4 linked regions of the Saccharomyces cerevisiae S288C genome follow. Changing the gene in region 3 together with the main gene of any one other region gives a genetic interaction. Each region holds a gene or a part of one and is shown on either strand. Other genes may lie near its edges. The genes, in order: UBC8, AVO2, YOR1 and HXK1.

What was found.
Region 1: mutations in YOR1 (region 3) and UBC8 together harm fitness more than expected from each alone (negative genetic interaction), as found in Saccharomyces cerevisiae (2 studies listed by BioGRID).
Region 2: mutations in YOR1 (region 3) and AVO2 together harm fitness more than expected from each alone (negative genetic interaction), as found in Saccharomyces cerevisiae (2 studies listed by BioGRID).
Region 4: mutations in YOR1 (region 3) and HXK1 together harm fitness more than expected from each alone (negative genetic interaction), as found in Saccharomyces cerevisiae (2 studies listed by BioGRID).

What each region holds. Positions count from the first base shown.
Region 1 is NC_001137.3:128,628-133,059, reverse strand, and holds UBC8 (E2 ubiquitin-conjugating protein UBC8), read right to left. Parts: upstream 1,289-4,432; coding exon 1,284-1,288; intron 1,161-1,283; coding exon 509-1,160; downstream 1-508. Other genes in the region: protein anchor VAC8, read right to left, coding at 2,499-4,235. UniProt on the Saccharomyces cerevisiae protein: Catalyzes the covalent attachment of ubiquitin to other proteins. Required for the adaptation to the presence of glucose in the growth medium; mediates the degradation of enzymes involved in gluconeogenesis when cells are shifted to glucose-containing medium.
Region 2 is NC_001145.3:402,741-408,084, forward strand, and holds AVO2 (Avo2p), read left to right. Parts: upstream 1-3,563; coding exon 3,564-4,844; downstream 4,845-5,344. Other genes in the region: SOV1 (Sov1p), read left to right, coding at 1-1,497; UBX4 (Ubx4p), read right to left, coding at 1,583-2,833; NAT4 (N-terminal L-serine N(alpha)-acetyltransferase NatD), read left to right, coding at 4,969-5,344. UniProt on the Saccharomyces cerevisiae protein: Component of TORC2, which regulates cell cycle-dependent polarization of the actin-cytoskeleton and cell wall integrity.
Region 3 is NC_001139.9:1,050,140-1,058,388, reverse strand, and holds YOR1 (ATP-binding cassette transporter YOR1), read right to left. Parts: upstream 5,566-8,249; coding exon 1,132-5,565; downstream 1-1,131. Other genes in the region: BGL2 (glucan 1,3-beta-glucosidase), read left to right, coding at 1-606; PXR1 (telomerase inhibitor), read left to right, coding at 6,664-7,479. UniProt on the Saccharomyces cerevisiae protein: Functions as a pleiotropic drug pump at the plasma membrane to clear toxic substances from the cytosol. Organic anion transporter involved in the detoxification of a wide range of toxic environmental organic anions that contain carboxyl groups.
Region 4 is NC_001138.5:253,092-258,712, forward strand, and holds HXK1 (hexokinase 1), read right to left. Parts: upstream 1,959-5,621; coding exon 501-1,958; downstream 1-500. Other genes in the region: proteasome regulatory particle lid subunit RPN12, read left to right, coding at 1-238. UniProt on the Saccharomyces cerevisiae protein: Catalyzes the phosphorylation of hexose, such as D-glucose and D-fructose, to hexose 6-phosphate (D-glucose 6-phosphate and D-fructose 6-phosphate, respectively).

The sequences.
Region 1 (4,432 bases), on a different chromosome or scaffold from region 3:
CAGGGAAAAAAAATGTAGGAAAAGCCTGCCACTTTTATACACCATAGATAGACTCATGTCGTTATTGGAAAATGGAAAGCCTTCCTTGCTTCCTTGTTTCCTTGTTTGCTGGTGTCACTTGGCTCGACTACCTTTACCGTTGCAACAGCCCCTTGGACAAAGCTTATTTGGCCCCCACGAGAACGCGGGGAAAGATGATGCCGTAATATAGGCAAAAAGGGGTATTGCGGAAGAGATAGTGAAAGCTCATCAGAATACAAAACATTATTGCTTTCTGACTATCACATTGTTGATGAGTGCCCTGCCCTTCCCCTGGATGACAGACTACAGAATTCACCGTTCAGGAACAAGAGCAAAATTGAGCCCGCAGGCCACTAGCCCACAGAGATCCTTGTAGTTGCTTGATAGTTGTTTGTAATTATAGTCGTACGTGTGGTATAGTATGCCATCATATATACTTATACATACATACATATATATATATATATATATATGTGTGTGCTCGAAATTATTGATTTGCGACTTCGTCGTAGTCATCGTCATCACTGACATCTATGTCACTTAGATCCTCGCTTAACTCATCTACGCTATCATCGCCACTGGAAACACCAGTGCCATCCATATCTTCATCAGAATCACTGTCCTCTTCTTGTAAATCACCGCCGCTATCACTGTCATCGCTATCATTATCTCCGCCAAACATTTGTTGGTACTTTTCCTTTGTAGCATACTTGTCTATATACTCTTTGATTTTTTCCTCATACAGTTTTTTATCTCGTAATTGCAATGTGGCAGCTTCGTTATTCAAGGGATCGCTACCATTAGGCTCCTTTAATAAACCTGGTATCATCCACTCCACTATATTTATCAGATCATATAAAGGCGACCATGTAGAGTTAATTACGTCCAAACATATGGACCCCGATGCGATATCAATGTTAGGATGGAATATCTTGTTAACGAACCCTATGCTTGGCGACTTGTATGGGTAATTATCCGGCAACTCTACATGTAACCTCCAAACCCCATTTTCGTAGGGTGTATCCTTTGGTCCCAAGAACTTTACATGAAACTCTTGCATGCTATCATTGATTAAATCCACTTGATGATCACTCATCAACAGTTTCATAACATCTGTCTCGATCCTTCTTTTAGAGCTACTGTTTCATTAAACGATATCTTTGAAGTTCATTGACATTTTCTTTGTTAGTGATCCTCATTCTATGGCATACTTTCTCAGAAGAGTGATATATAAATATACGTATATATCTTATCAAACATACCTCATCTTTCGTATTACGCTCCTTTCTTCCAATATTCCTTATGAAATACTATTAATATTTTGCTCTTACTTCTAAATTATATTCGAAAACTATCTCGCTTGATAATTACGGATTACACTATTTATCAAATGTGGCAGAACTGGAAATCCTACCTATGCTTTACGTTAGTGATACTTAAGCGCAGATAGCTGTTTCCGGTGCTCACCCTTTTTTTTTTTAATTCCACTGCTCCGGGAGCATTACCCGGTGGACGAAGCTCAACCTACTATTATTAAATAAGAAAACGTAAGAATGTATATTTACGCAGATGTGCACACGAGCATTGAAACAAGGATTAATGTGCCACTGATAGAATTCAGACTGCTGTGTGATTAAGAGGAAAACAAATTATCGTGAAGAATCGTTGATTCGCCTTTATATATTCTTGTATTCTTTAAGAGACATGCATTGCGATAATTTCCCCATGATATTCTTAACCTTATGAAGGGTCAGTCTACTGGAAGGTGCATGAAATATGAGTGAACGTATTTTCATTAGCAGATGAGAGACACCGGGATTAAAAAAACTATGTGAAGAATAGTGTTGATATATGATAAAATTATTGTGGAAATCAATAATTAAGAGGTTTTATAGTGTAGTGGTTATCACTTTCGGTTTTGATCCGAACAACCCCGGTTCGAATCCGGGTAAGACCTATTTTTTTCCCCCGCTCAGCTAACTTGTATTTTTAATAGATCTCCCACCATCAGAGGACGAAGAGAGAACTGTATTATCAATTGTGTTTTATTACAATATATTCTAAAAACGAAGATATAGATGTTATCTAGAATTGGTTTTTGTATGTAGCCCTTCTCTCCCGCTTTCTCACTTTTTGAACATTACCTCACTACAGTTGCCATTCAACAATGTAACGAACATTATCCGTAGGTAAAATTTACGACACTTCAAACTTCTAGAAGGAAATAGGCATATACTACGGAACAAAGACAGCCTCTTATTCGTTTTTAAGTTTTTTCTTCTTTTATTAACAAAAAAAAAAATAAAATAAAAAAAATCAATTGAAATTAGAATAGAGTAGAGTAGGTAGAAGTAATATGATGTAAAAAAAGGAAACAAAGATTAAAAAGATGGAAGAAATGGAGAGAAAGAAAATAAAACTTCTGAGAAGAAAATTTTGATAAAAATTATAATGCCTAGTCCCGCTTTTGAAGAAAATCAATGTAAAAATTGTAAAATCTGTTGAGTAATATTATACAATTCCAAACTTGCATCCTCTACAGGTTGATGTTCAGATCCTGTGTCATTGTTATTACTGTTGTTATCATTCGAGCTTGGATTGTTGTTGCTCCCCGGATTTTTAACATCAATTCCTGATCTTTGTAAACGCTCAAAGGTCACATCTGCCATTTTTCTCACTCCGTTAATGATGTCGTCATCATTTTTAACCAAATCTTCCACTTTATCATTATGACTTTCTAGCAATTGTAAAATTGTCCATAGCGCAATGTGTTCAAAGGTAGCATAGTCACTTTTCAAAAATCTAATCAGAAATCCACGAATGCCTTCATTCGGACGATCCCATGCTTCAATAATTTTTGTATAATTATTCACTCTTGAACATAGATTTGCCAAAGCAGCAGCAGCATTACCAGAAACTTCTTGGTTCTGGGAAAAAGTCATAGGGATTAAAGCATCTAAGATATTTGCTTCCAGTAGATCCAATTTGGAGACATCTGCTAGGGCTAAAATAGCAAAACATGCGGAAATTTCACTTTGAACACTAACAGGTGAATCTAGAGCCAGTTCCTTACATTTTTCGACAGCACCACTTTCGAAGAACTCTTTTCTGTTTTTTTCAGATGATGCAGCCAAATTTCTCAAAGTAGATACGGCGTGACATTGAATTTCTTCTGAATCCTTATAGTCCAACAATCTTACTAATGGTTTTAAGAAACCTGCATCAACAATTAAACCTTCATTTAGAGGGTGAATAGAAATGTTTCTAATGCATGCCACACTAGCCAAAACCAGTGGTATAGAATCACTTTGAATCAACTTTACCAAATGAGGCAACCCACCAGCCCTTACAATTTCTAATTGGTAGCTTGTATCGGACGCTAGGTTTCGTAAAGCCAAAGTAGCTTGACATTTTACCCTTGAAGATGGAGAATCCATCAGACTAACCAATTTGGAAACCAATCTTGGCTCAGTTTGAGCCAACTTCTTGCGATTGGCTTCATCCACTGCTATATTTGATAAAGCAGTAGTACAATAGTACTGAACATCAGGATCGGTGGACGACAGTAAAGATACCAATACAGGCACAGCACCTGCATTAACCAATTCTTTTCTATTTTCCTCAGAATGTGTCATATTTAATAATGCACCTGTAGCATTTCTCTGAACTCTTATATGTTTGGATTTAGCTAGCTTAGTCAATGGAATTAAAGCACCAGAAGTAGCAATCTTATGTTTATTGTCATCCCTTGTGGCTAAATTGGTAATGCATCCAACAGCATTACATTGAACTTCTACATTGTCACCCATCATTTGGTTTATTAATGGCTCTAAGCCTCCCATTTCCACAATTAATAATTTATTTTCATTATTAACGGCCAAATTACCCAAGGCTGCACAAGCGGCCACTTGAATCTGTGGATCTTGGCTTTGTAATAATATTAAGATGGGTTCCAGTACCTCTCTAGAGACCTGACGGACGTATTTTTCAGTAATTTCTGCGAATGCCAGAGCGGCGCTCCTTTGCAAATTTAGATTATCTGAATACACCAAAGTAGTTAGGGCCTTTAGTGGACCACCAGAGTAAAAGTCTAATTGGTCTTTATCCTCCAAATACCCTAGTAATAAAGTCACCGCTTCTCTTTCATTATCGGCAATTGGTGAGACACTGGCCTCGTCTGAAGAATCTTTCAAGCAACTACAACATGAACCCATAGTTGCAAATGTATATATAGTACAGAAGAAAGAACACCCTTATAGTTTGCTCAGTTCCTGTCTTCGTAGGATTGGAAATTGGCTAATTGCTTTTTATAGGGTTGTATAAATATATAATACCTTATTTTAACAACAAAAGGAAAAGTAGGAGATTGAACAGCGAGTCAACAAAAAAAAACAGAAAGCAAAGCAGACTC
Region 2 (5,344 bases), on a different chromosome or scaffold from region 3:
CATGATTATATCAGCATTGTTGATTTCCATCTTTATAAGAGAAATATTCCCATGGCGGCTCAACTTATCAGCAAGTACATGGAAATACCTGGAACGACACAAGAAGATGCCGCATTTCTACTTGTTAAAACCAAGCTAAATATGTTGAAAGATTTTGAAAAGCTACGAAACATTTTTGCTCAAAATAAAGATTATGTAGTGCCTGAGAATAATGTGAAAATGTTGCAAGAGGCATTTGAGAGCGTTATTACTAAGTATAACACTAATTCTCCAATATACAATGAATTGCTGTTTGAGAATGTTTCGGCCTTAACAAAAAGTATTGTATTAACTGATTTTCTGGAAGAGTTCATTACTAAACAGGCTTCTGGACAGTGGATGGAATTAAACAGTGTGTCACGTTCCAGAAAGTTTAATGGCTTGTTGAACATACTTCTCGGTACAGGTGAAGAAGAAAAAGCATATAATATCTTAAAAAAACTAGAAGAAGCCTCAAAGAAATCAAAAACAGATCCAGATTTACTCTATAATCAGTTTTATTCGGAAGTTAATGCATATCATTACGCTAAATTTGTTGAATTTTATAGTCTTCAAATTCAAAATATGAAGGCACAAAATACGCCCTCATTTAGAAAAAAGGAATTTAAGCAGAAAGTGAAGTCACTTTTAAAAAGAATGCAGGAGTCAGAGGTTATCCCAAATGCTGTTTTTTTGAGAGAAATACTCAATTTTTATGATAGCATGTATGACTTTAATTCAAGTTTTGAGATCATCAATCCGCTACTTGAATCCAAACAACAGGTGAGCTCTGAGTCTTCATTATCCACCTCAAACCCTTGCCGATTTTACAACCGTCGCATCATAACAAAACCGCTGTACCACAAGATTTGGTCTGTGTATTGCCATTATTATCATGTTTTACAAAATAATTCTAGGATTTTATCGAAAAAGTCGTCCATTGTAAAGAAATTAATAAAAAGGCAGATAAAGATTCACCCAACTTGTCACCCAAGAGTATTGTTCCAAATGACGGCAGAAAATGGTGAAATTTTGCCAGACAAAACTTTTTCTAAATTAATTGTGTCCACGTTCATGAAAAGCGGGGATTTAGAAGCAATACCTGCCATATTAACGTTTCTAACGAAAAAATTTGACTTGAATATTGATTACGATTTGAGTATGTATATTCTAAAGGGTTTGAAAAGACAATATTTACGAGATATTAGTAACATCAGTAAAGATGCTTGTGAGTACAAGTTACGGAAGGCGGAGCTAATGAATAATGAGTCAATCTTAAAAAACATTCCACAGGGTACAAATCAAGAGAATACAATATCCCATTTGATCAGGGAGATTTTGATCTTTATAAAATGGAAGGAAAAAAGTGATTGTTCTACTTTCTTGATGGTAGAAGATGCTTTTAAAGAATTAGGAACAGAGTTTACTTTACTCGAAGAATTAATAGAAGATGTAAATAAGTTAAAGATAAAAGCCTAAAAAAACGGATGCATTTTATATAATTTTAGCTATACGTGTACATATTTGTAATAAAGTTAAAAGAGGAGACTGTTTAGCTTTGTATTTATTTTTTACTTAATTTCATCCATTTAGGTACTCTATTTAAAGTCTTTTTGATACTTGTAGCGTTATCAGAAGGGCCCTGTGGATTGGATTTATTTATCGTATTAACTGATGGGGTTGTCCTCGTTTCGTGTGTGATTTTTTGTGCGTCTTCCAAAAGATGAGCCTTTATTAATGGGCCATTAGAATTTGAATTTGTTTCAAAAAGCAGCATTGTTTTAGAGCCAAATTCCAGGTCATCCAGTAGCTTCTTATCGTCTTTAGCCAAGGGTTTGAAAGGATGAGATTGGTTTAACGTAAAAGGCATGTTCTCATCGATCAGGAACTGCGACACGACGTTATAAACTGTACGCATGTCTTCATTGGGTTTGAATGCTATTTGAATATGGCTTCTATCGGGGAACTTGACTCTCAGCAAACACTCAGATATAGCCTTATTTTTCTTTGGCAAGTTGTTGGCTGATTGCTCTCTAAGTCTCTTTGTCAAAATAGGACCACCCAAAGTACCAGCCTTCGATGATAACATTTTTTGGTATTTCTTGGCTTGTTCTACTGTCAATTCATAATCTTCTTCATCCTCGATTTGATCCTTGATAACTGCTAATGGCTCATCCGAGGGCAAAAACACAGAAGGTTTATGTAGTTCGTGAGGTGGTAGTGAAGCAACCGTTTCCGGGTTCGTCATCGTAGGGGGAGTTTGTTTTGGGTGAATAGCGCTATTAGCGCTAATGCCCTCAGAATGAGATGTATTATTAAAAATCAATCTAACTGACGAAGGCTCCTGAATCCCTAAATTTTCGAGAGTCAAATTCTCATCCTTAATTGTTTTGAACTCTATTATCTTGGAAAAGACCTGGATCTTAAAATCATCTCCCGCAGCGCCGCTCATCTGTCGCAAGATAGGGGCAATTGGTTGGTCAGATGGCATTTCTTTAACCACGGAATCTCTTCCTGGGATTTGAAACCGTATTTTGATCGTATTGAATGGAATATCTTCGCGGTTGGTCTTATTCGCCACCGGAAAATTACTACTTTTAGATAATTCTAAGTTGACACCCGTTGGTAAGTTTAGAAGCCTCCATGGCAAATCTAATGGCACCGGTTTATCCAAATGTATCAATGACCAGTCGTTTGACGAGGTGTGCAGTTGAAAGAATTGTATGGATTGGTGTAACACATCGTTTAGTGTTGAATTCAACGAAACTTTACATTTGAAAAGTTGGAAGTTATACTTCACGGTAACCATAGGCATTGTATTGTGCGCTTATTAGTCTGCCTTGCTATTCTTCGCAGTACGTAGATTTATCTTAGTTTTTGCATTTTTTGGTTTTCTTTTTTTTTTGCCACACATAGTACAATAAAAGAGAACTTGAATCTTTGAAGAAACGTCTAAATTAACATCGAAGATAGAAGACAGGGAAACATCTAGGATTGCAAGAAATAGTGCTGAAATTTTGTAATAAAGTTGCAAGAAATAGCATCTAGCGTTTTATAAGGCGTACATCTTTCTTGGCAAGAGTTCCAAGAGAAAAGAGGAGCAAAACAGCGGTTGAGGCGCCCGCTATCTTGAATATTATACAGTTTCTTTAAAAACGCTTGTACAACACTGCATAAACATGGACAAATTATTGAAATTGTTTCAAGATATTTCCCATATCATATTCCAATAGCGTTACTCTCTCATCGCTTATTCTGGAATCATTATTTTAATAAAGATAACTCACACGATATACGTGTACTGAGCTGACCTTTATACCTACCCTTACCTGCTTATTCCTGATAAAAATGTTCGTGCAACTAATTGTTTGATTTCTCTTGCGGCCCGGTTATTCCGGAGTTGATACTTTTTTTCTTCTGTCTTAATTACGTTTTTTTCCTCTAGACTTTTTTGATCTGGTACAATTGAAAATGTATAAATCAACTGGACCCTAAAAATAAAAAAAAAAAACGCCCATTAGAAAAGAGGATATATTGAACAAAAGATGTTGAAAGAGCCCTCAGTTCGCTTGCGGGAGGCTATTATTGAAGGCAATTTACTTATAGTGAAAAGATTATTGCGACGGAATCCGGATTTGCTAACCAACATAGACTCAGAGAACGGATGGAGTTCATTACATTACGCCTCATACCATGGAAGATACCTTATATGCGTGTATTTAATTCAGCTGGGGCACGACAAGCATGAACTAATAAAAACCTTTAAAGGAAACACCTGTGTGCATTTAGCATTAATGAAAGGGCACGAGCAAACCTTACATTTACTTTTGCAACAATTTCCGCGATTTATCAACCATCGCGGAGAGAATGGTAGAGCCCCCATCCATATAGCATGTATGAACGATTACTACCAATGTCTGAGTCTGTTGATAGGAGTTGGTGCTGATTTATGGGTAATGGACACTAATGGCGACACGCCGCTGCATGTATGCCTGGAGTATGGCAGTATAAGTTGTATGAAGATGCTTCTCAATGAAGGTGAGGTGTCCTTGGATGATAATGTCAGGGACAAGGGAAATTGGAAGCCAATAGATGTAGCACAAACGTTTGAAGTAGGTAATATATATTCAAAAGTGTTAAAAGAGGTGAAAAAGAAGGGGCCACCGTTGGGTGCAGGCAAAAAACCAAGTTCATTCAGAACTCCTATACTAAATGCGAAGGCCACTTTCGAGGACGGGCCTTCCCCAGTTTTAAGCATGAATTCGCCATATTCGCTCTATTCCAATAATAGTCCGTTGCCGGTATTACCAAGAAGGATATCAACGCATACAACAAGCGGTAACGGTGGGAATCGGAGGAGTTCTATCACAAATCCAGTATTCAACCCACGAAAACCAACCTTGTCTACGGACAGTTTTTCGTCAAGCTCAAATTCCAGCTCGAGACTAAGAGTGAACTCCATCAACGTCAAGACTCCAGTAGGTGTGTCGCCCAAGAAAGAGCTTGTATCTGAATCAGTACGACACAGTGCAACACCAACAAGTCCGCACAACAACATCGCGTTGATTAATAGATACTTGTTGCCTAACAAGAGCAATGACAACGTGAGAGGAGACTCACAGACAGCTACAATCAACGATGACGGTGGCGGCGGCAATGGCGGTGATGCCACTATAGGAATGGGACTAAGAAAGGACCCGGACGATGAGAACGAGAACAAGTACAAGATTAAGGTAAACAATGGCGAGCCGAGGAGACGAGTGTCACTTCTGAACATACCCATCTCAAAATTAAGAAATAGCAATAACACGCGTGCAGAAGATTGAGAAGACTACTACGTATTTTTTTTTATATGCATCCTTTTTTCCACATATGTATGCGCGGTGCGCGCGCGCCATTAAAAGATTTTTTTCTTAGCTCTTTTTCTTTTTTCTTTTTCTTTCCACTGAGATGCGTTCTTCGGTATATAGTGAGAACACTTACAACTGTATACGAACATCGAAGGAGCACCTAACAGAAAGAAGGAGGGTCGCCATGGCGCCAATGTTCCAACATTTCTTAAACTTATGCGTGGAAAAATTTCCTGAATCCATCGAGCACAAGGATACAGATGGAAACGGTAACTTCACCACCGCTATTTTAGAAAGGGAGATTATCTACATCCCCGAAGATGACACTGACAGTATTGACAGCGTTGACAGCCTCAAGTGTATAAACTACAAGCTGCACAAATCTCGCGGCGACCAAGTGCTGGACGCCTGTGTGCAATTGATAGACAAGCACCTGGGCGCCAAGTATCGCCGGGCCTCGCGCATTATGTACGGCA
Region 3 (8,249 bases):
GAATCCACTGTTGCTGGTTTCTTGGTTGGTTCTGAAGCCTTATACCGTAACGATTTGACTGCCTCTCAATTATCAGACAAAATTAATGACGTCCGTAGTGTCGTTGCTGACATTTCCGATTCTGACGGAAAGTCATACTCTGGTAAGCAAGTCGGTACTGTCGATTCCTGGAATGTTTTGGTTGCTGGTTACAATTCTGCCGTTATCGAAGCTTCCGATTTTGTTATGGCTAACGCGTTCTCCTACTGGCAAGGTCAAACCATGCAAAATGCCTCTTACTCATTCTTTGATGATATTATGCAAGCTCTACAGGTTATCCAATCTACTAAAGGTTCTACCGATATTACCTTCTGGGTTGGTGAGACCGGTTGGCCAACTGATGGTACCAACTTTGAAAGTTCTTACCCATCTGTTGACAACGCCAAACAATTCTGGAAAGAAGGTATCTGTTCCATGAGAGCTTGGGGTGTTAACGTTATTGTTTTTGAAGCCTTTGATGAAGATTGGAAGCCAAACACCTCTGGTACCTCTGATGTCGAGAAGCACTGGGGTGTTTTCACTTCAAGTGACAATTTGAAATACTCCTTGGACTGTGACTTTTCATGAACGCTTTAAAAATACTCTTTAAACAAGAATGGCTTTTTCCTTCTGTTTAGGTGAGGAATAAGCAAAAAGTAACAAAAAAAAATGTTATCCCTTCTTTTCTTCCTTATTTAGGCTTTATTTTATCTTTCACTTCTTTTACGTATTTGAAATATCCTTCGGTTTTAGGATTTTCACTTCTAAGTTTTCTATTTTATGCCTTCCATTTTAAATTCGTATTTTGTGTATACTTTATTCAGTAAACAGACATCCCAATAAGTTCTTTGAATATCTTCTGAAAATGATGTATAAATATATATTTCTAGAATGAAAAAGGACCGAAGGCGTTGTCCAGTTTGCCTCATAAAAAATGAAATGTTCTTTTCGGAATTTTGAGTATACAATGTGGGTATGCAATTATATCTATCTATGGCACACATAACTTTTTCTGCAAGTCATAGTAGTGGGTTTTCTTTTCTAGTACTAATTTGTACCATCGGCAACATATAAATAAATAAAAGAGAAAAATCATGCAACAAATAATATAAATTAACTTCTGTTCTCGAAATCATTTTCCACAATACCAGATCTAGAACACATGCTTCTGAAAATACTATCTTCTTGACTAAACAACGTCCATGGTGTATCGAATTCTGCGACTTCACCCTTCTCTAAAACAAGAATACGATCATAATTTACAATGGTCTTCAGTCTGTGAGCAATACACAAAATTGTACAATCTCCAAATTCCTCAACAATACGTGTTTGGATTTTGCCATCCGTTTCGTAGTCCACTGAGGATGTAGCCTCATCCAAAATCAATATTTTTGATTGGCGGACCAATGCCCTTGTTAATGCTAATAGTTGTCTCTCACCTAAGGAGAAATTGGAGCCCTCTTCTTCCACTGCTTGATCTAAATGGAACTTATGCATTTTACCATGAGTACCATTTTCATCAGGTTTTTGCAATTTCACTTCCGGCAAGTCATCCTTGGCGATAGCACCACCTCTCACCAATGCATCCCATAATTCGTCATCTGTACGCTCATTAAATGGATCTAAGTTCTTGCGAATCGTACCCCTAAATAATACTGGATCTTGTGGAATGATGGCTAATTTTCTTCTTAAATCGAAAAGTCCCAGCTGACTTATATCAACATTGTCAATTAAAATTTTACCTGCGGTCAATTCATTCAACCTGTAAAGGGCACTCATAATAGTGGACTTACCAGCACCTGTACGACCACAGATACCAATTTTTTCCCCACTCTTGATATTCAAGTTAAGATTTTTTAAAACTATAGGTAAACCAGGTCTATAGGCAAAATCAACATTTTCAAAAATTATTTCGCCCATTGAGGGCCATGACTCTGGAGGTGTCATTTCGGGCTTTCTATAGGATGCCTCTAGTGGTAGTTCAGTTGCATATGTTACCAATCTTTCGGCACTATTCATGTCATTCTCTGTTTGAGTCATTGCCCTTAAAATGGTATTTAATAGACCAGGCAATTGTAATACATAAGTCAACAAAACACCAACTGAAGCCGCGGAAATAGGAAAGGCTCTCGTAACACACAATAACGTAATAATTAGTGCAAATGCGATAGCAACCATATCAAGGAAAATACCTACCCATCTTTGCAGGACAACTACAAGGTATCCCGCCTCATTCATCTTGTTGATCAAAAAATCTGATTTCGCCAAAAATCGTTCCTGACTTCGGTATGCTTTGATTGTATCCATCCCACCCAAAACTTCATTTAAATTATTGTAAACAAAAGACCGTTGCACAGCTTCAAGTCTTTTAATTTCTCTACCAGAACTCTGATAATGATCAGCAATCAGAACAAAGATGACCAAAAGAAACGGAATTGCGATAGCAAACCACGGCAAGTAAACAATACACATGACGCAAACACCTACAATATTAGCAAATTGAGATGTCATCAACCGTAAACTTTCGGTTAACTCATTATCTAAGCTATCTGTATCTTTTGTGAATCTGTTCAGAATACGTCCCAAAGGTGTGGTATCTATGTATGACATTGGAGTGTGTAAAATTCTTTTCACAGCCCTCAAATTTAACCATTTCGATGCCATAATACCCATTGCGCAAAGTATGGTGAACTGGCCATTCATGAATATGAAAGCAGCAAACACAAAGAAGGAGTAAAGACCCATATAAAAACTGGGTGGTCTGTTTTTGAATTTATTCTCAGTCCAGTAAGATAACCAAACGGAAGAAAAAAGTGAGCAGAATGTGGTTCCAACGACTAAAATTGCATACAACGGTAGTGCGATAAAACCCCACTTACCTACTGCAGCTTTAATGTATTCACGGTATATTTTCAGACTGATACTATTGACTGCTCTTTCTTCTTTACTACTAGTATGACCATCCGCTACAATTTTACCACTATTTGCAGTTTGTGACATTTCTGTAGCCTTTTTCTTCAGTTCAGTCAATTCCTTTACCTCTGATTCATATTTTAGTTGTCCCAATTCACCGGCAACAACCGCTTCCTGTTCTTCATCCTCTTTCTCCGAATTTTGAGAAGAGAATTGTAAAAGATTTATCAAAGTTTGATTACGAGCTTTTAGCTCATCAACAGTACCAATATCGACTTGGCCATCAGTACCTAAAACGATGACTCTAGAAGCTCTCTCAATCAGTGACAATTGATGCGTTGCTAAAATTCTGGTTTTATTAGCAAGCATTCCGGTTAGACATTCATCCATGATGTGTTTACCAACACGAGAATCGACAGCACTTAGGACATCGTCGAATAGATAAATATCCTTCTTCTTATAAACAGACCTGGCTAAATTGATACGTGCCTTTTGACCACCAGATAAAGTAATACCACGTTCCCCAATTTCGGTCATATCGCCTGCCGGTAAAATATCCAGATCAGCTTTCAAAGAGCAAACACGAACTACTTCATCATACTTTTCTTTATTGAATGGTGAACCGAATATGATGTTATCTCTTACAGATGCATTTTGAATCCATGGATAACCACACATTAATAAGTCCCCGTTGACTTCAACCTTACCATCAGTTTTTCTCATTGATCCTGCCATCGCATTCAATAATGAAGATTTACCAGTACCAATAGGTCCCGTAATCATAATAAATTCGCCCTTTTTAATATCGAAGTTCAAGTCCTTGAAACCCCTAAACGAAGTTTTTTCTAAATCTTCCGGGCCGTCTCTGTCTTTCAACATATTGTCCAATCTTTTCGCCTTATTAGTACTTGCAGATGGCTTACCCCATGTATCCTTACGCTTTTTTTTGTTCTTTTTACCTTCATCTTTAGCTTCTCCTTTTGCTTCTTCAATAGCGTCGTTTAATTCATAATCTTCCCACTCAAATGAGCAATGTGTCATTTTTAAAGCCAATTTTGGATCAAAGCCAGGAGAAGGCTTCATTTCAATCATCTGATTTGGATCATCTTCTGGAGCCTCCAATAAGCTTTGCAAACGGCCCAATCCAATGATCATGTCAATTCCAGTACCAATAGCAATAGGTAAGAAAAACATTTGCAAACTCAAGACCTGAAATAAAGATAAAGAGGCAAAAATATTACCAGGTTGCCTGCCTCCTTTATTAACTTTGTACATTGCAAGGAAAGTGACCAATGAAGCAATACTAGGCAAAGACATGGCCATAGCAATCAAGAAATTTCTTGATAGTTGCATTTTTCTAACTTTAGAAATCTCTTTGGTCCTAATATCTTGAATATTTTTTTCATACGCATCCTCCCACGTATAATATTTAATCATTTTTATATTATTCAGCACTTCTCTCATCATGGTAACTCTAGCATCAGTGAAGATGTTCGCAGCAATTCTAAAGCCCAGAATTAACTTAAATGCAAATAAGGATATGAAAAACCCACCGAAAAAAATACCAATCCCAACTAAGGCAATGGGTCCAAGGTTAACGATCAATAAAACAATGCAAATAGCCAAAATTGCAGGGAACCCAGCCAAAAACGGCTGAAAAGATAAGGCAAATTCAATTCTAGCGAGATCTGTTGTTACAAAAGAAGTCACTTTACCGTTAGGAAAACAATGTCTCGCATAATTAGATGCATTAAACATTTTCTTCATGGCAGCTTTAGTAAGAATAGACTTAGCTTGCACACCAGTCAGTTGGGATGTATGAAAGAAATGGTTGAACGTCAACCCGTTAACGAACATCATCAAACATGCACCAATAGCGTAACCAATACCTTTGTTAACATGCATGCTATGAAAAATAGCCTTTTCTTCGACAAACTCAATTAGCCTCTTGGTAATCATGGGGTTAAAACCGGATGTACAATTAGCGAGAATTGCAAACACTATCGACATGAAGTACTGTTTCTTAAAAGTGAATAATAAAGCTCTCAGAACTGTATGTTTAGGTAGTTTGGCATTTTCCATAACCTCTTCTTCTGTCGCTTCTGGATGTCTTTTACGGTATTTTTTCCTCGTCTTCTCAAAATAGTAAATCATGTTTTTTTCAAAGTCGTCATAAAGGGTCTCTATAGACATCCTCGGATCCATTTTGAAGAGATCGTTCGGCTGTATCGTTCTCTTATAACCAACTCGCAGGATGGGTAGAACCCACCAAAAAAACATGTTAGAGATAATATTTGTATGGAACAGAGGATATATCTTCCTCTCGTCATCGGTTTGTGGTACTTCTGGAATTTTCTTAGAGTGCAAGAATGAAAACAGACGTTTCTGAGGGAAAATATCAGATTCTGTCACTTTTTCGATATCATCGCTATTCAAGTAGGTTTGGGGCTTATTTCTGTCCACAATATATTCACCTGTAGGCAGCAAAGATTTGTCATCCCAAGAAGACGATGTGTCCTTATCAACATCTGTGCTTATGTCTGAAGAAGCAGATGCCTTGGGAGATAGTACCACGTTTTGACTTTTGTTTTCCAGCTCCGTCTCCGAAACTGCATCCCCCACGGTAATCGTCATATTCGTATATAGCAACGGCTTTACTCTTTTTGAATATAAAAACAGTAATATTAATCTTTTTCCTCGTTCGTGACACTACTCAGAGGGCACCTGTAAGGAGAAAAAGGTATGGAAATGCGTTCTTCCTGTTCTTGTATAGCGCAAAAAAAGATATACACGCGGAGAGCTGTTCTACCTCCGTATTTATACTAACTGGAACAAAAAATATTTCAGTGACACCTTCGCTAGCTACCTCTGACAGATGTGTAATAAATATATATATGTATGGTAATCATTTAAGGGACAGCAGATCTATTTGTAGGAAAAATATTGCCACTTTCTTACCTTGGCTTTTTTCATTTCCACGGGTGTTAAATCATGTCCGTCATATTCCCGGCAAAATTTCCGGCTATTTCCACGGAACCACGCGTTATCTTCATACAATAGCACATGCCAAAAATTACAACAAAAGCACAGAAGCAAAAGAAAAAAAATGTGCCATTTCCGCCTCGCGGTGGGGAGGAAAATAGAAGCGCTTATCGCAAGCATTTAGTAGAGAACCGTGGATAAAAACGCAGCAACTAAAGAAGGCGACTAATAAAAATTGAGTATGCCTCTCCTTAGCGTAAACAGTAACTGCGTGCTATAAGGTGGCACTAAACTTCCTTCTTCCCCTTTCTATCGGATTTGTGCAGCCAGGAGGGATACCAGTGACGGCTATAGCGGGAGAAAGACGGGCCCTCTCACAACCCTTTGCCCCTTGCGGTTAGTCATATAGATTTTGCTTGTGAAGAGAACTGGTCGGTTCAAAGATGCTTTCTTCAAAGTACTATAGCCTTGCCCACTCTCTTTCTCCCTTCTGATCTCTTGTATGCTGATTTTACTTTAATAAGTGAAGGTGATCAATCAGTCAACTAACAAATTAGCCGCCACTGCAAGGATATTTTCTCTGTCGTTGTTGTTTTCCTACAAATATAAACAACCGGGTAACAGTCAAAGAAAAAAAAAAAAAGAAAAGGAAAAAAAAAAAATATGAAAAATTTTGTTCTGAAAGAAGCGATGAGATGAGTACTCAATAGTAACATATAGGCAGCTTACACCATTAAACAAAGAAGCAGAATGGGTTTGGCAGCTACAAGAACCAAACAGCGGTTTGGTTTAGACCCCAGAAATACGGCATGGAGTAACGACACCTCGAGATTCGGGCACCAATTTCTAGAAAAGTTTGGATGGAAACCCGGTATGGGTCTGGGGTTATCCCCCATGAATTCGAACACTTCGCATATCAAAGTGTCAATTAAGGACGACAACGTTGGGCTCGGTGCTAAATTAAAACGTAAAGACAAAAAAGACGAGTTTGATAATGGTGAATGCGCAGGGTTGGATGTCTTCCAGCGAATTCTTGGTAGGCTGAACGGAAAGGAAAGCAAAATATCAGAGGAATTGGACACGCAGAGAAAGCAGAAGATTATTGACGGAAAATGGGGTATCCATTTTGTGAAGGGTGAAGTTTTAGCAAGCACGTGGGATCCAAAGACTCACAAGTTAAGAAATTACTCCAACGCGAAGAAACGAAAGAGGGAAGGAGACGATAGCGAAGATGAAGATGATGACGACAAAGAGGATAAAGACAGTGATAAAAAGAAGCACAAGAAGCACAAAAAGCATAAGAAAGACAAGAAAAAAGACAAGAAGGACAAAAAGGAGCATAAGAAACATAAAAAGGAAGAGAAGAGATTGAAGAAGGAAAAAAGGGCGGAAAAGACCAAAGAAACGAAAAAGACGTCAAAATTAAAATCTAGTGAATCTGCATCCAATATCCCCGATGCGGTAAACACAAGACTATCGGTGCGCTCCAAATGGATAAAACAAAAGAGGGCCGCGTTGATGGACTCCAAGGCACTGAATGAGATCTTTATGATAACAAACGACTAAACATTCCATTGCGTTTCATTGTGTGAGCAGCTGGCCAGTCTGCACACGCAGCAAGATATATAGAGTGGGGAAAAATTCTTCCCCGGTGCCAAAGAAAAAAGCAAATAAAAATGAAAAAAAAAAATGTGTGCCAGTACGACAGCATACCGCAACGAGTTTTTACATACATGATTAAACTAGTAAGTAATATTATAAGTATTTATTGAACTTATTGCGCCACGACTTCTGCCCCTGCAAAACCTTCAGCTTTATTAGGTGGGTTTGATGGAAGATAGTAGAGCAAGTGGAAAGCATAACATCGCTAACGTCTTCCACACCCTCCATAAAGCCGCTGCATGAATGATAAACGGGCTCAATTCGTATCAGTGTAACCAAATCCATCAATTAACGCCCAATCGAGCTCGTTAACTCCATTTTGGGAAAGAATCAAGATGCCTAGCCCGGCCTAATCGAGATGCATCCACAAACGACCCTGCACGGTCATTTCCCAGAGGGTTTTGTAATTTGTAGGCACCGCTTTTCGCGCGACACCCTGCTGCAATAGGATCTTCTCCCTAGAAACACGCGCAACGCACCTCTTTTCCCTTTTCGTTTAGCCTCTCCAAATGAGGAAAATAGGCACATGATTCCTTTTCACGCGCATTTTTTTCAGAAATTTTCTCTTGTGGTGTTGTTTCAAAAACGGCACCGTTGTTTTTGTTTTTTTTTTTCTGTTTTCTCCCATTCCTCGAGGAGAAGATCTCTGTTTTATAAAACTAATAGATATGTAT
Region 4 (5,621 bases), on a different chromosome or scaffold from region 3:
CTACGACTTTCTCCCTCTCTCCAACATAAAGGCTTTGCTCTTTTTCAACAACGAAAAAGAAACTGAAAAATTTGCACTAGAGAGAAACTGGCCTATTGTCAACTCGAAAGTTTACTTCAATAACCAATCAAAGGAGAAAGCTGATTACGAAGATGAAATGATGCATGAAGAAGACCAAAAGACAAACATTATCGAAAAAGCAATGGATTATGCCATAAGTATTGAAAATATTGTGTAATATTTGTATATATAATATGTGCACAAAATTACTACAAAATAAACAACTTTTTCTCTCCCGGAGAACAAAGTAAGTGGAAAAAATTATACTAATAACAATCTAAAAATGTTTATTAGCTAGGATTATACACATAAATATATATATATGTGTGTGTCTATATTTACATATACTAGACCGCAAAAAAAACATAAGGGCATCACTCATAAGAATAATAATATTAAGGGAGGGAAAAACACATTTATATTTCATTACATTTTTTTCATTAAGCGCCAATGATACCAAGAGACTTACCTTCGGCAATTCTTTTTTCGGACAATGCAGCAATAACAGCAGCACCTGCACCTGAACCATCCTCAGCTGGAACAATCGTAATTGGATCTTTGCTTGCGTCACCAGTCCATCCATAGATATCTCTCAAACCCTTAGCGGCGGCTTCCTTGAAACCTGGGTATTTGTTATAGACAGAACCGTCAGCGGCAATGTGACCAGTCTTGTAACCTCTCTTTTGGCAAATAGCGGCAATACCACAAACAGCTAATCTAGCAGCTCTGGTACCGATCAATTCACAAAGTCTTCTAATCAACTTACGTTCTGGCAGAGTGGTCTTGACACCAAAGTCCTTTTGGAAGATGTCATCAGTATCTTCCAAGTTTTCAAATGGATCATCCTCGATTCTTGCTGGGTAGGAGGTATCCATGATGTATGGTTGTTTCAACTTGCTTAGATCTTGATCCTTCAACATCAAGCCCTTCTCGTTTAATTCAAGTAACACTAGACGCAACAATTCACCCAAGTAGTAACCGGAGGTCATCTTTTCAAAAGCTTGTTGACCAGGTCTTGGAGATTGTTCGTCGACAGCAACATCGTACTTGGTTCTTGGCAAGACCAAATGTTCATTATCGAAGGAACCATATTCACAATTGATAGCCATTGGAGAGTTACTTGGAATATCGTCTGCTAATTTGCCCTCCAACTTTTCGATATCGGAAACAACATCATAGAAAGCACCGTTGACACCAGTACCGAAAATCACACCCATCTTAGTCTCTGGGTCAGTGTAGTATGAGGCAATTAAAGTACCAACAGTATCATTAATCAATGCTACAATTTCAATAGGCAACTCTCTCTTGGAAATTTCGTTTTGTAGCAATGGGACGACATCGTGGCCTTCGACATTTGGAATATCGAAACCCTTGGTCCATCTTTGCAAAATACCTTCGTTAATCTTGTTTTGGGAAGCTGGGTACGAGAAGGTGAAACCTAATGGTAAGGTGTCCTTGGTGTTTAGCAATTCTTGCTCGACCATAAAGTCCTTCAAAGAGTCGGCAATAAAGGACCATAACTCCTCTTGGTGCTTAGTGGTTCTCATGTCATGTGGTAGTTTATACTTGGATTGAGTGGTGTCAAAGGTATGGTTACCGCTCAACTTGACCAACACGACTCTTAAGTTAGTACCACCCAAATCAATGGCCAAATAGTTACCAGATTCTTTACCTGTTGGGAATTCCATGACCCAACCGGGAATCATTGGAATGTTACCTCCCTTCTTTGTCAAACCTTTATTCAATTCGTCGATAAAGTGCTTAACAACCTTTCTCAAGGTCTCGCTGTCAACTGTAAACATATCTTCCAACTGATGAATTTCATCCATCAATTCCTTGGGCACATCAGCCATGGAACCCTTTCTAGCCTGTGGTTTCTTTGGACCTAAATGAACCATCTTATTTTTTCAGTATTCTAATTGAGTTGTTTGGGTGAGTTTGATTAAAAGAAAAGAATTCTAATTGAGTATTGCAAGCCACAATTGTTTCTTATTGCTCTTCTGCTATATATTGCGCTAAGAGAAAGAGAAGAATACAAGATGAAGGAACGGTAGAATATTCCCAAGGAAGTGAAACCGATTGCTTATATACGAAATATTCCTCTTTAAAGAAAAGGAGGAAACAGAAGCAGTTGAGAACAATCTTTGTTGCGTTCACTTGTTACTATTCCTCTCAACGGTCCTAAGGTACCAAAATCCGGGGGGAGAAAGAAACTTTTTCTTTTCATCAACCCCTTAAAAAAAAATGCATAGTTCTTAGGTCTTCCATTTTTTCTTTTGTTGGTTTTTGCAACCAGAGTATTTTTCCTGGTTGCTCCAGTAAGGTATTTCGCTATCTTCCAACAAACGGGGCACACGTGCGGGAGTTTCAAAGGGGCAGAATAGTGGGGTTCAGGGGCATAAGAAGCTCACACAATGCGGAAAAACAAAAGGGGACTGCCATTCTTCCTGAAACCCACGCGTCACTGCTATACTGAGATCTGGCCAGGGGCAACCAGTATACTTAGTGGATAAACGACAGGAACACGTACTCCTTAAAAGCGTCTAAATCTTCATTTTTCCGGTTTATTTCCAACCGGGAAATAAATTATTCCTAATAAAATTTCCGGGGTTTGCAGGATGCGGGGTAAAAGTAAAAAAATGAAAAAGATGTAAAAAGAAAAGTTCGAGGTAAGACCAGGTGCAAGGAGAATACTGGGCGCCAATGCTTTTACTGCAGCGAAGAAAAATTCTAACCGTCTGTTTCGGTTGCTAATTTTTGTCTTACTTTCGATGGTTAGGCTTCGTGGGGTAAAAGTCGAGCTTGTTTTCTGAAGCGGAAATTACAGCAGTTTGCTAGGTGAGTTTTAACTTTCCTAGTTGCATCCCATGGTCTAGATAATCACCCCACCCCACGCCATTCTTTTTTTGCAACACGGGCTTTGTTCCTGAAACAACTGGCATGGAAGATATTCCGGGGTTGTTTAACAATAAACGTGTAGAGTACAGGTAGAATATAGGCGAAGCCGCGGTGAGCACGGAATCGCGCATGGAAGAAAACACACCAGGTAAGCCTTTGGAACGCCATGTGTAAGGTGCAATGCACATGAGTGATTGTTAAAAACAGAAAAGTAAAAATTCCGATCTTGTCTGGAGGATCAATCGTCCTCTCAGTGCGTTTTCTTGGCGAGACAATTCAATTCGCTTTATGCTCTTTTTTTTTGTGAATTTAGCCAATTCCGGAAAAAACATAAAAAAATGGTTATGCATTCTTTATTTTGAAGAATGAACTAGATATACAGTAATATACTAAATTGTCAGCTCTCGGCATAATTCAATGGCCGGAAAGTAGTACTATTAAAAAGAAGTGCGCTCAAAGAATAACTCCGGGAATAGGTGATGTAGCTTTTGGTGCTGGAAGCGAACCGCTTTCATGTGTTTTGGTCCCGGCTGTAGTGTTCTGCGGAGTTGCACTGGTGCTGTTGGTAGAGATTACGATTTTGGTAAATCCTGGTGTGACGGCTACATCAGTACCTCTAGTTAGACCAAACACTAATTCAATGCCAAAACTTAGACGCCCGATGATATTCCTTGTATATATATTATTATCCGCTATGGGCACAGAAGTATGTTTAACAGTAGCAGAAGCGACTTATGTATGGATGTCCAACAACGAAGATGCCACAAACGTCTTCGTAGTTTTATCCACGGCGCCAGGTCTGGAGAATGGACACCAGGGTACTAAAATCATTAATTGCTCTTCCACCATCCTAACGTTGTTGACATTTAGTGTAGATACTTGGTGAAATATGTGCTTGTGAAAGCGATTGTCCATTCTTTATATATAGTCATGAAAGTAGTTAAAGTGAAGAATATATTAGAAGCTTTGGGTTCAAAAGAGGACGGTGAAGTGGCTCGCTTTGTTAATATATTGATTTATCCGAAACCCGGGAAGCACTCTAGAACTATGCCTTAGCATTTTAGTGGTCGAACTAGCCAGTTTTTCGATTGTTGGATGTGTTGTAATGACGGTATTATTTTTGCTCAATGAGTTAAAAGGCGAAAGCGTCAAATTGTAGGTCAGAATATGACTGACAGAATCAAACTGTCTGACAATTGCACAGGAGGATTGGCCGGAGTAAAATCGTTTAAGGTAGTATAAGCAGGTTGAGCAGACAATTGGCTAGAGCTAGCCATTGAGCCTAAAGAATTGCGAACAAGTCGGATAAGACAAAGGGAACTAATGTACAAGATCTTGTATCCTGAGAAGAGGAAATAAGTACTCAAGAATGGGCCAGAAATAATGTTAGAGTTTATAGGGGTGACAGCCCTTGAGCTAATAAATACTACAATAACAGTGTCCGTTTGAATGCTGGTCGGTGAATCAATCAAAGATTTGGTTGCAATGATATGTGCAATTTTGCTGATGGAGCTTGCTAAAGTTGTGATATTAGTCGAGATCCAATTAGAACGGATTAGGCGGGAATCGCTTGAGGGATCGCCAAAAATACTTGTGATTTGTGTAAGTTGGTTGTAATGCAAACCTGCTATCTTTACTTTCGAACAAAATAGATGAATCAGCGGCTAAGTATTCTGTGGCTAATGTGCTAGATACATGTTGAGTACTGCTATTTGTGCGCAACCGTTCTAACAATGCTGAGAGATGATGAATTGAATATATCAGAAGTTTTACTAGCTACAGTAGTTGAGGTACCAATAGTGGGGGTATGCGAAAATTTACTAAAAGCACTGACTGGAGTTGTGGTACTAGTGAATACCTGGTCCAAATAGGTTATGAAGGAATCATTTGAGAATTGGCTAGAAGCAACTAAAACGCCCGTGGATTGAGGTTCAGATTTGCTACTGTCGCTTTCGAAGAAGCTAGATGAACCACGGGTAAAGTATTCTGCATCTAATGTGTTCAATAAATATTGAGTGACGTTATCGTAATGTTACAGTACTAACACCGCTAGAAAATGCTGGTGTGAATGTGAATGACGATAGACGGACTGATGCACTTTTCCATTGTACGATAACATTACTTACAAGATTGGGAGAAGCATGATTGAAAATTTGACTGGAAGAACCACTTATATTAGGAGTGGCGGTATTAGTAGAAAATTGACTAAACGCATCCGAAAATTAAATAGAATTTAAAGTTTCCTTGGGTGCACTGTTTTGGGCTGCAGTGCTAAAATCCAGAAGTGTTGGAGTCAGGTTACTTGTTTGCATACAGACATTACTGAAGTTTTCAGAAGGCCTTTGAATCGAGAACGAGATAAGGAAGTGTCCTCTAAATGCAATTTTAGAGCTCAAAGTGAGGATAGTGGCACTGAAACTTGATTTAGTTAATGGCCTTTAGATTTGCTGCTGTCTGAAAAGCTCATCATCGAGAAGCTCACAAAATGGAGTTCTAGTTGCCCTTTCACTATACAATCGATGTAAAGATGGCTTATAAGTATTTGAATTGTAAGTTTTGTGCTAGCTGAGGAATCAAAAAATGTATTTAGTGCTTCCTTACTGGTCAATTGTGTATTATTTCCAGATGAAACAGAAAATATGTATTTTATGGATTGACTAATC